Linked DNA regions of Alligator mississippiensis. The protein of the gene in region 1 purifies or fractionates together with the protein of each later gene. This does not show direct contact. Links are inferred from orthologs where the notes say so. Each region holds a gene or a part of one and is shown in the gene's direction. Other genes may lie near its edges.

Region 1 (7,989 bases):
GTTCTTCTGGCCACCGTACAAATTGTTCCTGAGTATGGAGAGTTTCCAAAAGACCTAATTAGCAACTCACTGCAAACATTTCTTTGCATTAGCTAATGATCCGGCTACACTTGTAAGCAAACAGTACCAACATATCTAATCAATGCAGAAAAACCAACAGAATGCCTATTAAACATCTGGATGTAATTTTCTAGTTAGACTTCGAACAAAATGAAAACATATGCAGGTTCTTTTGATGTATGCTTCAACAAAGAAATCGTTGATAAAAAAAGCGTACTGGCCAGTCAATGTGTCATTTTCATAAAACCTGGTCATTTCTCTTCAAATGTTCCCAATTTAATTTTGTTGGTTTCCTGCAATCTCTAATTTTACCATATTGTGTGAAACCGCAAGAGATTCTTTGGATCGGATTTTATTTGAGGTTTTACTGCTGCATGATCTGCTACTGATTTTTTTTTTCCTACTTTGACTTGGAGAATTTTTAAGGGTGAAAGGCTGGGAGAAGGTAGTATAAAGCGTATGGGAAAATGTCCTGCTGGAATTTTTCAAACATTCCTGCACAACAAAAATAAATCCTAATTTTAAAAGAAATCAAGTAATGAAAAATATTCACAACAGTCTACCCACATCATTATGTATAGATAAGGGTGAATCTTAAAACCAATTTTTTTTTGTGCATGTTGTCATCATAATTACGCCTCTCACAATGTAAATCTACTTTATTGCATTCATTCTATGGCTTAGGAGCTTTTTGGTCTCTGTGTTTGCCATCTTGCCATGCTGTATACTCATTTAAAAACATCTTTTAAATACACAACTCCTCTTTCTTCTTCCATTAAAATACAAAGAATTCTAAATCCAAAACTTTAAAAATGTAAAAATTTACTGAATTCAATAATTGCTCTAATTGCATATCTTTTATCACTCCATTATCCAGATCTCAGAAAGTGTTTTTTTTTCCTCCCTGTGATGTCTTGATAATTAACCTCATCAACATTTTATTACAGGGTTTTTGTCGCTTTGTAGGAAGTAAAAAACAAACAAAACTCATCCATGCAAACTGGTAGGAACCAATAATGTCAGCAGTAAATGAACTAGTGCACACGCATGCCCGCGCACACACTCACACACACACACACACACACACACACACACACACACACACACACACGGTAAATGGAGCACCATAGCATTCCTCCTTTTCCTAACAAAGCAAGCTGCTGCATCTGAAACCTGATAATACATTCAGACCATACTTTGGACCCAATTCTGTTTTGTTTGTCCATCAAAACTCCCACTGACTTCGATATTTAGTGTAGGATTAAGCTCTAAGTTGTCTGAGGTAAGAACATTACATTAGTATGCTCATGGGGAAAAACTATCAGACTTCAAATGGAAAGGTGGACATAATAATGAATCAGAAGGTATTGTGTAGTGGAAGTATTTTAATATGTAAGGCAGATTATGTTTACTATATATTTGTTTAAATCATAAGAAAAGGGTCAAACAGATATTTGTAATGCAGTGTGAGGGATATTATTGTGTATTTATTACAGGATGACATCCAGAAGGAAATATTAATTTAATGGGAAACAAACCCACTTCTAGGAAATCTGGTCCAGGTTCCACTTTTAGAAATACTGAGTCATGCCATGGACTCAGGTGGAGTTAACTTCAAAGAAACTACTCCAGATTTACACTGGTACAATCAAGAGCATATTTTGGGCCTCCATTATCAAACTATGATGAACTGTAAGAACTGTTAAACATGTAAAGAATTAGTCTACATTATTTTTAGATGTTTGTAGCTACTCCCTTAAATCAAAAAGCCTCCATATGCATGGTTCTACTCCTGCTTTTACAGCTCTTCCCTTCTGACTTTGATAGAAGAGATTCAAAATGCTTTCAAGTTTCCAGTCTCAGTAGGTTGAAAAGCATTTGTTAAATGAAACAAAGAAATGTTAAAGTGTGCCTTGAAAATTTTAAGCATGCTAAATATACAGTGCAAAACATTTCAGCTTTCGTGGAGGGAAGCAATTACAAAACTACTTCTGTTTATGCCCCGAAATAGACTGTTGTTTTAACATTGTATCTGTTTATATTTTACTAGCAACTTGTGCCATCAGGTTAAACATAGTAGAACCAAACTTGGGTAAACTGCCTGTATTGTTGTTTCAGGTTGCCTAGTTACCAGGTTCACAGACACCTTATATAATCAGAGTTTGCATTTTATGACACCTTTCATCTGAAGATCTAAGTGATTCATAAGAATTAATTAAGTTCTCAATACCTCTGTGAAGTAGGTAAATAGGATAATACCTATTTTATACATGTGTAGGCCAGTGCATGGAAAGGTGAACTGACTTGTCTAAGTAATGCAACACATTGCTGACAGAGTTGGGAAAAGAACGCGGGGAATCTTCACTCCAAGGCATGTGCCTAAATCAGTAAGGAAATTCACATTCTGGTGACTCAACCACTGCCTCCCAGAGAGAAGCAAACCTGTGTTGACTGCCCTTAAGAAATAGGTGGAAGAAGAGAATCCACTTTCTTACTTGGGTAACTGTATTCAGTTTCAGACCTCTGGGGCCGTGGAGAAATTCAAAATTCATCATGTGTTCTGTCAAATATTCATAGGCAAATGCGGAAGGCTTCCTCCTCCCCTGTCATTTTTACGTTGGCGATACTGGGAATAATAGAGCATAAATGTTCACACTCTGAACTACACCAAGTCAACATTTGCTTGTATTTAGGGACCTAACGATTTCATTCACATCAAGCTTTAAACATAATCTGTTCTTCTTTTAAAATATAGATTGAAGTCTGATAGGATTAGGGATCAATAAATGGCATACAAATTTAAAGGGAAGAATAAGAAAACATTTGCTACAAAATTGCTCTTTTTTAATGACTTCCTATAACACCTTTAGGTAAAACATAAGGCCTGAATAATAACACTTAACATTTTGAAAATGTGGAAAGCTACTTATGCTACATTATTCAACTCTGTTATGAATAAGATGGTTGGTAATAGAGGATATGTTTTGAAGTTTACTTCCCATTACAGGCTGTGTCACTATTTGGCATGGCCATAGTCACATACAGAGCATGTGGAATTTATTTGACCCTGCTCTACTTCAAATAGAACTATAAACTATTTATAGTAGTGGAAGTTTCTGGCTCCTCGGCTCCAGTGGAACCCTCTTGTAAAGAAGTCAATTTTTCCCAAAGGACAACTTCAGTCCTTTCTGAGGGTCACTACCGCTGCGGTTTGTGCATTGCAACGCATTAAATCAAGCTGGCACTTTTCATCCTTTGTAATGATAGTTTCCCTATTCTGAGTACATTATCAGCAGGTGCACTTATATCTGCATGGAACCCATAAATAAAATATGGAGAGGGGCCACATATGCCTGCTTGCATTAGATGTCAACTCTTTGGGATGAAAACAAAAAACAGCGCAGGCCAACTCACGATCAGATCCTTGTCCTCTGAGGCCGTGTCTACACAAGTGAGGACGTTTGATTCCCCAGGGACAAGAAGCAGCCGCACACCTTGTGTGGTTGCTACTTGCCCCCAGGGAACGCCCGTGCTAGATGCCCTCTGGCAGGTTACCCTGGGTGGGGTACAGGAAGCTGGGATCAGCAACTTTGCTGGCTCCAGCAGCCTTACCTGGGGTCCTGGGAAGCTGCAGCCATGGCAGCCCTGCAGCTGGGAACCTGGTAGCCAGAGGGTGGCTCCGGCCTGCCAGGCTCCAGTTTTTGGGTGGCATGCATTGCCACCACATGCACCACGCTGCTTTTTTTCCCCGCACAGATTTTTTTGACCCTGGGATTTCACCAGATCAAAACCTCCCCCCTGCCCACACACTGTAATGTAGCAGCACGGGTAACACCTGAATGTGCCATATATGGCGCCGCAGACCCCCACACCCCATGACCGTGCTCATCTGGATGCAGCCGGGGGGATGTAATTACTTGCAATGAGTATAAATGAGAGCAGAACGGGGCTGATTTTTGTGTGTGCGTGTGCACCATTTGGGAATTGCCTCTGATGGGCTCTAATGGCGATAAGGAAAAGCAAGTGGGATTTCAAGTCAAATTGCACGTGTGTAGACAGGGTACGAACATAGCAGTGTCCTTCTCCACCCACCCTGCTGTGCCACGCTCCTCGGGCCCCTGCTACCTTGTGTATATCACACAACCAACTGGGGAAGAGCGTGTCATAAATGCAGCTGGGCCCGCAGGGTTAAAAATGACCAGCCAGCTGTAGAAAGAGCCAGCGGGCATCAAGTCAGGGCTGGGAACCCTGTTGCAGCTTGACTTAATTAATTATTTTTAAATAAATTTTTATTTCTATCTTATTTTATAAATAAATAAATAAATAATTTTATTTTATAATATATTTTATTAATACATTTTTAAATTAATTTTTTTTTAAATTTGATTCATTTTTTCTTTATTATGATTATTTGAAGGTGGGGCCGGGCCAGCCGCCCCTGTGAAGGGCTCTCTCCTGCTTCCCAGCTCTGCTCCGCGCCTGGACAGCCAGGTCTGAGCAGAGGTACCCGAAGCAGGGCTGACCCGGAGCCTGGGACACGGCTCATCCCCCGCCCCCCCCGCCGCGAGAGAGCGGCACAAAGCGGCGCCCAGCGCGCTGCTCCCGCCCCCCCTCCCGGCGCCCCCACGTTACTTTGATTGACAGCTCAGCCTCTCCACCGACCTTCCCCTTCTCCCTGCCTCTCGGAGAGTTCCACTGTCTCCTATTGGTCGGCCCGGAGGGGTCCGGGCCGGCCCCGCCACAAACGCTTTCTTGGTGGAGGCCGGGCGAGCCGGAGCGAGCTCTGGCGCCGCGTTCGATTGGGCGTGACGTCAGAGCCCCACGTTGGCCCCCGAGGAGGCGATTGGTGGCGGGCGCGGCCCCGCCCCCCCGCTCCTCCCGGGCGCCGAGCTGAGTGCGAAACCGCGTGTTAATGCACCGAGCGCGGCCGAGCGAGCGAGCGGGAGAGACGGGGAGCGCGGGTTCGGCCAGGGCCAGGCGAGGGGAGCCGCGCTCGGCGCCCGGGGGGACTTGCGCGGCGGGGACGATGCCGCCCGCGGGGTTGTGCTGAGCGGCGCCCCGCTGCTGCCGCGTGGCCGAGGAGCGCCCGCGGGACCCGCTCCCTTGCTGCCCGCCGAGACTTGGCCCGTCCCGCGGAGCAGGCGCCTGCCCGCTCCGCCCGCCCGGGGCCCCGCTGCCCCGGCGGCGGCGACAGCAACAAAGGCGGAGGAGGAGGAGGAGGAGGAGGAGGATGCCCTTGGCGCGGGGGCGCTGAGCGGCGCTGCGGGCGGCGGCTGGGGCTACCTCGCCGAGGACTGAGCTGCGGGCGAGCGCGGCTGCGGCCAGAGCCATGTTTCCCCAGAGCCGGCATCCTGTGAGTAGCACGTGCCCCGGGCGGGGGGGTCCCCTCATCTCCTGCCCCTTTTGGACTGGGGTCTTGCTCCCCCTCTCCTAGCCCGGGCCCGGGGGGGCGGGGGTTGAGTTCCCACCACTCCGCTCCCTTCCCTTCCCTCCCCCCCCAGCCCAGAACCCCTGGCTGTGCCGGGCTTCCTGTCCCCCCCTCTTCCCCTCCCTTTTGTTTCATGTCTAACTTATTTGCATGCAAATGACAGGGGAGGGGAGGGGCTGCCCTGCCCTTGGCTGCCAGGTTGGCTCCTTCTCCCTCTCCACTCTGCTGCAGCCAAACTCAGCCGGGGCTGGGGAGTTGTCTCCCCCCCTGGCCTCACGTGTAACTGTGGGGAGGAGCTGGCCCCTTGCCCTGCCTGGCATGGTGGTGACAATTGTAAGGGGGAGGGGCTGGGGGAGTTGTGGGCATAGGGCAGGGGCCACCTGGTTTGGAAAGGAGGGGGAACGAGTAACAAGTGCGAGGGGAGGGAAGCAATGGAGCTTGGCAGGCTGCTCCCTCCCAGTGCCCGTCCCACTAGCTTTCCTGGTGGGATGCTGCAGAAGGGACCCTAGTTGACAGGATGCTTCAGGGAGCTGGGCTGTGGTCCCTAGCGTGCCCTGCCTGCTTTTGTTTCAAGGTTTTCTTTTTTTTTCTCTCTCTTCTCTGCCTCAGACGCCGCACCAGGCTGCAGGTCAGCCCTTCAAATTCACTATCCCGGAATCCCTGGATCGGATCAAAGAGGAGTTTCAGTTCCTCCAAGCGCAGTATCACAGGTGAGTCCTGCCTGCCGGCTTCTTGCCTGCTCTCTCTGCATCAGAGAATTGGGCCACATCCTGCCTCGAGGAGGATTTCAGGCTGGTACGCAGTGTGCTGGCTAGCAGGGTGTGTTTCTTTCTCTCTTGCTCTGTGCTCACTGGGGGAAAAGCAACTGCCGTTTGTATTTGTCACCAGATGGTGGCGTGCGGAGTCACAGATAAAGCCCTGTCATTCGCTCCTCTCTCTACTTGCCATTGTTTTCACTGTTTTTGCTGCTGTTAGATTTGTAGAGAAGCAGGGCCAGAAGGGACCTGCAGAGTTTGTGGTCCAACCCCCCTGCCTGAGGCAGGATCATCCTTATCCAAATCATCCCATGCAACAATGTCCGGTTGAACTTTTATTCGTGTGCGTTCAAAGCTTCCTGAGAGCTGTCAATATTTGTGTTTTCTTTTGCTGATGGGCTAGGCTGAGAACAAGCAGGTCAGTGGATACTCTTGCCCCATCCTTGCACTACTGAGTTACTGTTGAAGTAAGAACTTCAAGTTCAATAAGATGTCAGGTATCCGGGTTGTAGCCTTATTGGTCTAGAGGCAAAAGGAATCGGGACTCATGGTAGAGGTGATCTCTTATTAGACCAACTAGATTTTTGCAAAAAAAAATTTCTTTAATTGCTCAGTTAATTTAAAAGTTCAGTAAGAGGCAGTGTAGACTAAGGATGTGGGCTGGGAGTTGGGGCTAGCTTTACTATGCAGTGCGACCATCTGTAAAATGGGGAGACTGTTTGACTTAGCGTGGTCGTGTGAAACTTAACTCACCTTTGTAAAAGTGTGTTAGAATTCTTGAGTGCAAAACCTTGGTAAGGGCAAAGTAAATTGAGAGAATATCCAGTCTAACTTGGTAGCAGGAAATATTAAAGGAGCTAATTCTCATGGTAGTTTGTCCTCTATGGTGTGCATTTTTAATGAAAAGATCAAGGAAATGCCAGTAATTGGTATGTAAACAGGGGATGAAGATTATTTTATTTTTTTCTTTTTTAAGAAAGCAAACTCATCAGAATACCACTGAAAAGATGACTTAAATCTACTGAAGCAGTCATTAATGGCTGCTCTCCCAGCCTTGAAGCATGCTGTTCTTAGTTTGTATACTTTGTGCCAAGGTCTCTGTGTGTATATTGAGGATCTGCTTCCTCTCTCTGCATGCACAGCACTTCTGGCATTAACAGAGACTGTGTTCTTTGGCATGCAGCTTTATCTTGTTATAGTGTAGAGATGATCTATATAGGGTTCTGCATACAAATTCTCTTATTTCTTGAAGACTTTGGTTAGATATTTTGTCTTGCGTGATCTTGTGGTCTCTGGGCCTTATCTGTAGATGAGCACTGGCTTATCAAAAAGCCCTTAATTAAAATTGTGCAATTCTTAATGTAAACTACATGTGTATGAATAAAAAGTTGAGCATGCACATTCACCACTTGTTAAAGGTTGTTTTCTCGCTGATATATATTATTTTAAGTTGACCGTTAGTCCCTATCTTGAAGCAAATAATATTTTGATTTTAACAAAGGCATTGGAATTGGTTATGTGAAACTAGTTTTTATTTTTATTCTAAGTTTTTTAAAGTCGAACTGACTTTTAAGTAATGCTTAAAGCCAAAAATAGTCATGTTTGACCCAGCTAAACAGTCAGATCACTCGAAATAAAGGCTTAGAACCAGAACCTAAACAAGTTTATAGAAGTAGCTGTGTCAGTAATTCTTACTTGTTTTACTTCCTTTTCAGTGCACGACTGTAGCCCATTAGGAGTTAAACT
Region 2 (7,008 bases), on another chromosome or scaffold:
AGTCGCAAGACTGAAGTCTTCTGGTGTCTGTGCCCCAGGTCTACTGGCAGCAACCCTGTAAAACTCCCTGCTTGTTCAGCCATGATGATTTACGAGCTTTTGCAGTTTGCCGACATGCCAGCGTCTCCTTTCTGCTGGATCTTCTTGTCAGGAGTGGATCGATGGCTAAGCAGCAGAGCCAAGGATATGTCCCGTGCCTGGGACCCAGAAGGCAGCAGACCCCAAAGGGTACAGCGTGAGGTTGCATAGCAGCTGTTTTGTCTTGGCCTGTGTTTTAGACAGGCAAAGTGTGACAAACACACTTTTTGTAGGGCCCTCTCTCTCAGACACCGCGGTGCACCATAGCTTTAGCAGTATTTTGGCGGCAGGCTCCATTGCCCTGCAAGGTTCAGCGCGTGATGACAGCTTTGAGCTGTGAAAGTGACAGCTGCCGTCCAGTTCTTGTCACCGAGGGCAGTGACGAGGCCTGGGAGAGGTCGGGAGGGCAGCGTGCACGCAGCAACAGGTGGCACAAGGAACCGCCAGATTTGGGACTGTCCCTGCCCAGGGGCTGCCTGCCTGCGCTGGCTATGCCCGCCTGCAACACGGGTGACCGACCATATGCCCCTAGTCAGAGGCTGCTGGGTCGGGAGTCCTGGGGTGTGTACAACCCAAGGCTCAGCCTGTCAGAAGCCAAGTGCACACCTTGCTCACCCCGGGTCCAGTGGAGCGGGGTGCCAGGTGAGGACGGGTGGGACCATCCTGCAGAAGCACTCACATGGTTTCGGGGCCATTTAACACCCCATGCAGCTGCTGCAGCCAGGGCTGGGATCTCCATCTCATTGCCCAGAGAGGGGCTTGTGCCCACCCGGCAAGCTGTAGGGGGGTCATGCTCACAACAGTCCCTCCATGGGGCGCCCCTGAGCGGGGAATGGCAAAGCAGGAGCTGGCAGCACCAGGCCAGGAGCTCCAAACCATCCAAGCCAGTGCCATGTGCGCAGGCTGAAGCACAACGAATGCAGCGCTCAGGGCCAAGCCCTGGGAGCAGGGCCCAACTCTCCATGGGCCACCAGCCGCCCGGGCCCTAGCGCCAAAGCAGCAGTCGTGCCATCTGCAAGTGCTGCCTGCCGGCTGCAGCAGCCAAGAAACAGAGGACGAAACAGCAAGAAACAGAAACGGGGCCAGGCCAGGAGCGCTGACTCCAAGGGGCAAACCCCTCGGATACCCCAGCCTGCAGGGACACGTGGGGCATGCAGTGAGGGGTTTGCACCCGCGTGGACATCCCCAGCCAGCAGAGATGAGGCCCTACATGTAGGCAGTGCTGTGTCTCCTGCTGGAAAGGTCCTGAAGATTGCAGTGATGACCCAAGTCACCAGAACAGGAGCAGCCCAGGCCACACCAGACCAGACCTGCCTCGATGAGCGCTGGGAGCAGGCAGTGACACCCTCTGCAAGAGGCGCCCTTCCAACTTCAGCATCGCTCCAGCCCTGAATCACAGACGAGGGCTGAAGGGAGCTCAGGAGGCCACATCCAGTCCAACCCCCTGCTCTGAGCAGGACCAGCCCCAACTACATCATCCCAGCCAAGGCTTTGTCAAGCCAGGTCTTCAAAACCTCCAAAGATGCAGATTCCCCAACCTCTCTGGGGAGCCTGCTCCAGCGCTTCTCCACCCTCCTAGGGAGAAAGTTTTTCCTAATATCCAACCTCAACTTCCCTTGCTGCAGCTTGAGCCCATTGCTCCTTGTCCTGTCATCTGCACCACTGAGACCAGTCCAGCTCCATCCTCTTTGCAGCCCCCCTGCAGGGAGGTGACGGCTGCTATTCAATCCCCCTCGGTCTTCTCTTCTGCAGACTCAATCAGCCCATTTCCCTCAGCCTCTCCTCACCAGTCCTGACCCCCAGCCTACAACCATTTTCCTTGCCCTCCGCTGGACTTTCTACGTGTCTACATCCTTTCTGCAGTGGGGACCCACAGCTGGACACAGGACTCCAGATGTGGCCTCCCCAGTGCTAAACCCTGTGTCCAGCTTTGGGAATCCCACACCCGGCGTCACCACTGCCCTCGGAGCAAGCCCCCCCGGGGCAGGCCTTCCAGGGGCATGGATCTGTGCATCAGAAAGGCTGCTTTTTTTCTCCCACCACCTGTTGGGAAATGCAAGCCTTAGGTCTGGCCTGCAGCAAGGCCTGGGGGCTCAGTCCTTCCTGGTTTTCAACATGGGGGCAGTGGCCAGCGAAGGAAGGGGGGATGCTCCCAGAGCTGCAAAGCAGCTGTGCTCTGCATGTCCCTCCTGCACGACCGCCCGCTGAAGGGCTCTTTCCTCCACCACTGTCAAATCATCCCGTGCGCAGACTGGCGGGGCTCGTCTCCACCCCAGGGTTGTTTTAAATATTCCTGCTAAGGCCTCCAGTCTGTCATCAATTATACGGGCCTTCCCCACCAGGGCTAGGCGGAAAAGGATCGCTAGCTGCCACTTCCCTGATTCAGCCTCTTGATCTCTTCTTTACTAAAGTGTGTCCAAGCCTCTCACTGGCTGCAGCATGTGCCAAGTCCTGCTCATCTGGACCCAGACACGCTGAAGGCTGCTATTTGCGTTTAAGTCCAAAGTCATGTTGCTGAATCAAAGGAAACCCAGATTTGTTCCTTTCTGTAGTTTAACACATGCCTCCCTCCCTCTTTTCTTTTCTCCTTTTCTTTTTTTTCCTTTGTAGCGGGGCTGGCTGTGTACACAAGTGTCCGCAGGGATGAGAGCTTTTGCATTGGTGAGATCTGCAAACATGTCTCCTCTTTCCTGGACTTTATTTTTCTCACGGTCTCTGAAAAGGCAAGATCAGGTGATATGTGTGGGATTGGCTCTGCACAGGTGCAGATCAGGTACTGGAGGAGGAGGAGGAGGAGGAGGAGGAGGAAAAACATTGCTGTGTGTACTCAAAAAGCAAAAGAAAAAGAAAAAAAAAAGGCTCTGAATAGGCCAAGGCTAGTTCTTGGCAGGGTGACTCAGGCTTAACTGGCAGACGATGGGAATAGGAGTGTGAGAAAGTCAGTCAAGCAGAGGGGGGGGGAAAAAAGGCTCAAGTCCTCAGGCAAAATATTTTTTGAAGCTAACCCCACAAAACCTCCCAGCTAAGGCTGGAAGCCACGAAGGGGAAGCAGCCCCGTCCCCGCCGAGGGCGGACGCTTCCCGGAGCGTGCCCGAGCACCGGCTTCTTGGCTGGTTATAAAGTAAACACTGAAGCATGCGAAGCAGCAAAGCGTTTGCTGATGAGAGCAAACGGAGAGGAGCCGCTGGCCTCGGTCACCGCCGCGGGTGCCAGGAATCCACCGCCGGAGGATCCGCTGCTTCCTCTCCAGATGAACCAGCCCAGCTGGGCCCGATCCTGCCCACCTCCATGCTGGTGCAGGCCTTGGAGCCGGTGGCGTGACACCAGGTGACTGTCGGGACAATCCAGCCCCCGACCCGAGCGGTGCAGGGGACCCTGGCTGGAGATATGTGGGCACAAGCAGCACCCTGGCAGAGGGGCAGGGGAGGGGGCACCTCTGCAACCCTCTTCCCCACACAGCCCAGCATCAGGGTGACCTTTAAGGCTGCCAGGACCCAACTCCCCTGCCATTCATGACCAGGTTTTTTTTTTTGGTGCCTGTCACTCCACGTCGACAAAAGCTGCATTGTTCCTTCCAGCCGGAAAACATGACCGGGCTCGGCCTGCTTGCAGCGTGTGAAGATGTTTCCCGCAGACCAGCCCCGGGGCAGGGGCCAGCAACCTCCATCCTCATTTCGTCGGCGCTCGCTTCTCCAAGCCACATGAGCCTCAAAAGGGTAAACAGCCCAGTGCAAACAACGGCACGATCCTGTCCTGACAGATGAGTTAATTACCTGCAAAATAAGAATTTTCCGACCAGTCTCTCGGCCTCCTCTCACGGCAAGGAGCAGTCATCTCTGCCCATGCTGAAGCGGTTGATGGTGCTGTCCTGGCCCTGCTTTCGTCCCATCGCCGCGGGACGATGGCCCTGCTTGCAAGCAACAGGCTGTGCTCTCCCAGGGGGGAAAGGCCTGTTGGGTTAGGAAGCCTTGGAAGGGCCTGAGCCAGTTGCCCTGCACCCCCAGGTACTTCGGGGGGGATGAGCAGCACCCAGCACCTTGACAGACCAGACCCCAAATGCTGCGGCCCTCCAGAATAGACGCGGTAGCCATAAGGGGAGAGTCCGAGGCGAGCGGGGCTCAAGCAGTGTTGCTCGAGCTGTTTAGGCTGGGGGACCCCTCGCTCGGCTGCAGCAGAGCGCCAGCTCCTAGTGCGCGCTCCACGTCGGACCGAGTCCCCGAGCGATCGGAAAGCCCCGGGCACCTGGCCACACGCTGGATCCCGCGGAAACCTGGGCAGTCGTGTTCGCACACCTCGCCCTGCCCGCCACCTTGTCACCGACACGTAGAGAAGCGGGGCTGGAGGGGAGCTCCAGAGGTCACATCCAGTCCGGCCCCCGGCTCGAGGCAGGACCAGCCCCGTGCAAACCAGCCCAGACAAACCATCTGTCAACACAGACCTGCTCCCACCAAACCTCCTCCACGACCACCCCAGGCCCCAGGCCGAGGCTGTGTCCCTGCTGCAGAGGAAAGCAAGCCCCTCCCCAGTCCGGACCAGTGTCACCAGGGGGTACAAACCCTTCCTGACCCCAAATACAGCACCAGGCTGACCCTGAGCGCGGCGGCAAGACCCCCAGCCAGGACCAGCGGAGCCCTGCCCCGGCCCTGCCCCCCGACACATGGAGCAGCAAGGCCCGGGAGCGGGGACACCCCCACCCCGTGTCCGTGCACGCCGGGACCCTGCAGCCCAGCTCCAGCCTGGCCCCGCGGCCGGCGCGCGGGGGAGTGGTTTTCCCAGGCTCGGGCGGCAGCTGCTCCCGCCGCCCGCGGAGCCTCCTCCCGGCACGTGCCCCGGCCCCGCCGCCGCCCCGCTAATGACCCCCCGCCGGCCCCGGGGGGGCCGGCGCGGCAAGGGTTAACCCCGGCCTCGCACGGACGCGCCGGCCCGCGGGGCCCCGAGCCCATTGGGCGGCGGGCAGCCAATGGGGGGGCGCCGCTCGCGTGCCCCCCGCGCCCATTGGCGGAAAGTGACTGTGGGAAAGAAAGTTTGGGAAGTTTCACACGAGCCGCGCGCGTGCGGCCGCGATATAAGACCCGCGCGCGGCTGCGCCCGCCGCACTCCGCCCGCCCGCCCGCACCCTGCCCCGCACCATGCCCGCGGACCTCGCCGGCAAGAGCTCCGCGTCGCCCGTGGCCGCCGCCCCCGCCAGCGGCAGCGCCACGCCGGACAAGCCCAAGACGGCGGCGGAGCAGCGCAAGGTAAGTGCGGCTGCCCCTGCCCCTGCCCCTGCCCCACCTCCTGCCCCGGCGCCGGCGCCGGCCCCTGCCCCTCATGCCGCCCGGCTCTTGCAGTCGTCCAAGCCCATCATGGAGAAGCGGCGCCGGGCGCGCATCAACGAGAGCCTGGGCCAGCTGAAGGCGCTGATCCTGGACGCGCTGAAGAAAGACGTGAGTGCCCCCCCCCGCCCCCTCCCCGCCGCCCGCGGCCCCCGGCCCGGCCCCGCGCTCACGGCTGCCACCCCGCAGAGCTCGCGGCACTCCAAGCTGGAGAAGGCGGACATCCTGGAGATGACTGTGAAGCACCTCCGGAGCCTGCAGCGGGCGCAGATGACCGGTGAGCGGGTCCCGCAGCCCGGGGGGGAGCGGGGTGGCGGCGGGAGACCCTTTTCTAACTGCCCCCTGCTCCTAGCCGCGCTGCACACGGACCCCGCGGTGCTGGGCAAGTACCGCGCCGGCTTCGGCGAGTGCATGAGCGAGGTGACCCGCTTCCTCTCCACCTGCGAGGGGGTCAGCAGCGAGGTGCGCACGCGGCTGCTGGGCCACCTGGCCAACTGCATGACCCAGATCCACGCCGTGAACTACCCCCCGCCGCCACCACCGCCGCCTCCCCCGCTGCCCGCCGCCTTCGGCCAGCCGCTGGCGCAGCTCCCCGGCGGCGCGGCGCCCCTGGGCGGCATGCCCTGCAAGCTGGGCAGCGCCGCGGGGGAGCCCGCCAAGGTCTACGGCGGCTTCCAGCTGGTGCCGGCGCCCGACGGCCACTTCGCCTTCCTCATCCCCAGCACGGCCTTCGCGCCTAGCGGTGCCCTCGTCCCCCTCTACGCCAGCGGCCCCGGAGCGCCACCGCCGCCGCGGCCGCCCTCCACGGCGCCCCCCGGCCCGGCAGACTCGGTGTGGAGGCCCTGGTGAGCCTCGCTGCCGGCACCGGGGCTCGGACTGAGACTGGGACTGAGACTGCTCCAGGAGGGGCACGCGTGGGGCCGCCTCTGTGCATAGCGCCCTGTTCCCGTGGGATTGTGCCTTGGCCAAGCTAGAGCGGAGCCCGGCGTCTCGCCTGCTCTTTTGTTTTGTTCTTTTTTTTGAATGTGACACCAAAGATCTGTTTTTTCTTTCTGATGCTCTTTGACAAATAAACGCCCGCCTTCCTCTGTGGAGGGAGCGGGGAAAGACGGAGACCGGTGCCTGCTGCTGCGTGTGCCCCGGCTCCTGCAGGGCTGGGGCTGGCCCGCCTGGAAGATGCAGTCCCTGCTGCGGTAGCAGCGTTTTGCTCAGACCCACGGACCAGGAGCTCCTCTTTTTCGAAAGCGCGGACAGCATCCTCACCCAAAGTCCCAGCCCCATCCCTGGGGAGAAGCAGTGGGAGCCACTGCAGCTGTGGAAAGGACAAACCTGCCTCCCCCGGGCTGCGGCATGACCCCGAGCGGTGCCACCACGGTCACCGCACCCAGAACCATAACCTTGCTGCGTGGCCAGCCAAACCTGCGCCGCTGACTGCCAGGCGTGGGCCTCTGAGCCACCTCACCCAAGGAGCCCCGAGGGTCAGAGTCCCGCCTGATAAGGAGCCTGAGGCCAGCCGGGATGATTAACACCGGGCACGTGTTTCTGATAAGGCAGCGTTTCCCCAGCCCCGGTGCAGAAAGCACGTGGTGTGGGAGGAACAGCGGTGCTGTGCTGT

Evidence for each region. Proteins that work in one complex are often made in the same cells at the same time.
Region 2: the proteins of TLE1 (region 1) and HES1 purify together in Homo sapiens (affinity purification with western blotting; 4 studies listed by BioGRID and IntAct, with this or other methods). This does not show direct contact. The link is inferred for Alligator mississippiensis from reciprocal best matches to the Homo sapiens genes TLE1 and HES1.

What each region holds. Positions count from the first base shown.
Region 1 is NC_081826.1:201,770,863-201,778,851, reverse strand, and holds the start of TLE1 (transducin-like enhancer protein 1), read left to right. Parts: upstream 1-4,950; 5' UTR 4,951-5,389; coding exon 5,390-5,413; intron 5,414-5,733; exon of another isoform or gene 5,734-5,806; coding exon of another isoform or gene 5,807-5,821; intron 5,822-6,097; coding exon 6,098-6,198; intron 6,199-7,989. UniProt on the Homo sapiens protein: Transcriptional corepressor that binds to a number of transcription factors. Inhibits NF-kappa-B-regulated gene expression. Inhibits the transcriptional activation mediated by FOXA2, and by CTNNB1 and TCF family members in Wnt signaling.
Region 2 is NC_081830.1:88,907,714-88,914,721, forward strand, and holds HES1 (transcription factor HES-1), read left to right. Parts: upstream 1-5,011; 5' UTR 5,012-5,207; coding exon 5,208-5,504; intron 5,505-5,582; coding exon 5,583-5,670; intron 5,671-5,745; coding exon 5,746-6,242; 3' UTR 6,243-6,506; downstream 6,507-7,008. UniProt on the Homo sapiens protein: Transcriptional repressor of genes that require a bHLH protein for their transcription. May act as a negative regulator of myogenesis by inhibiting the functions of MYOD1 and ASH1.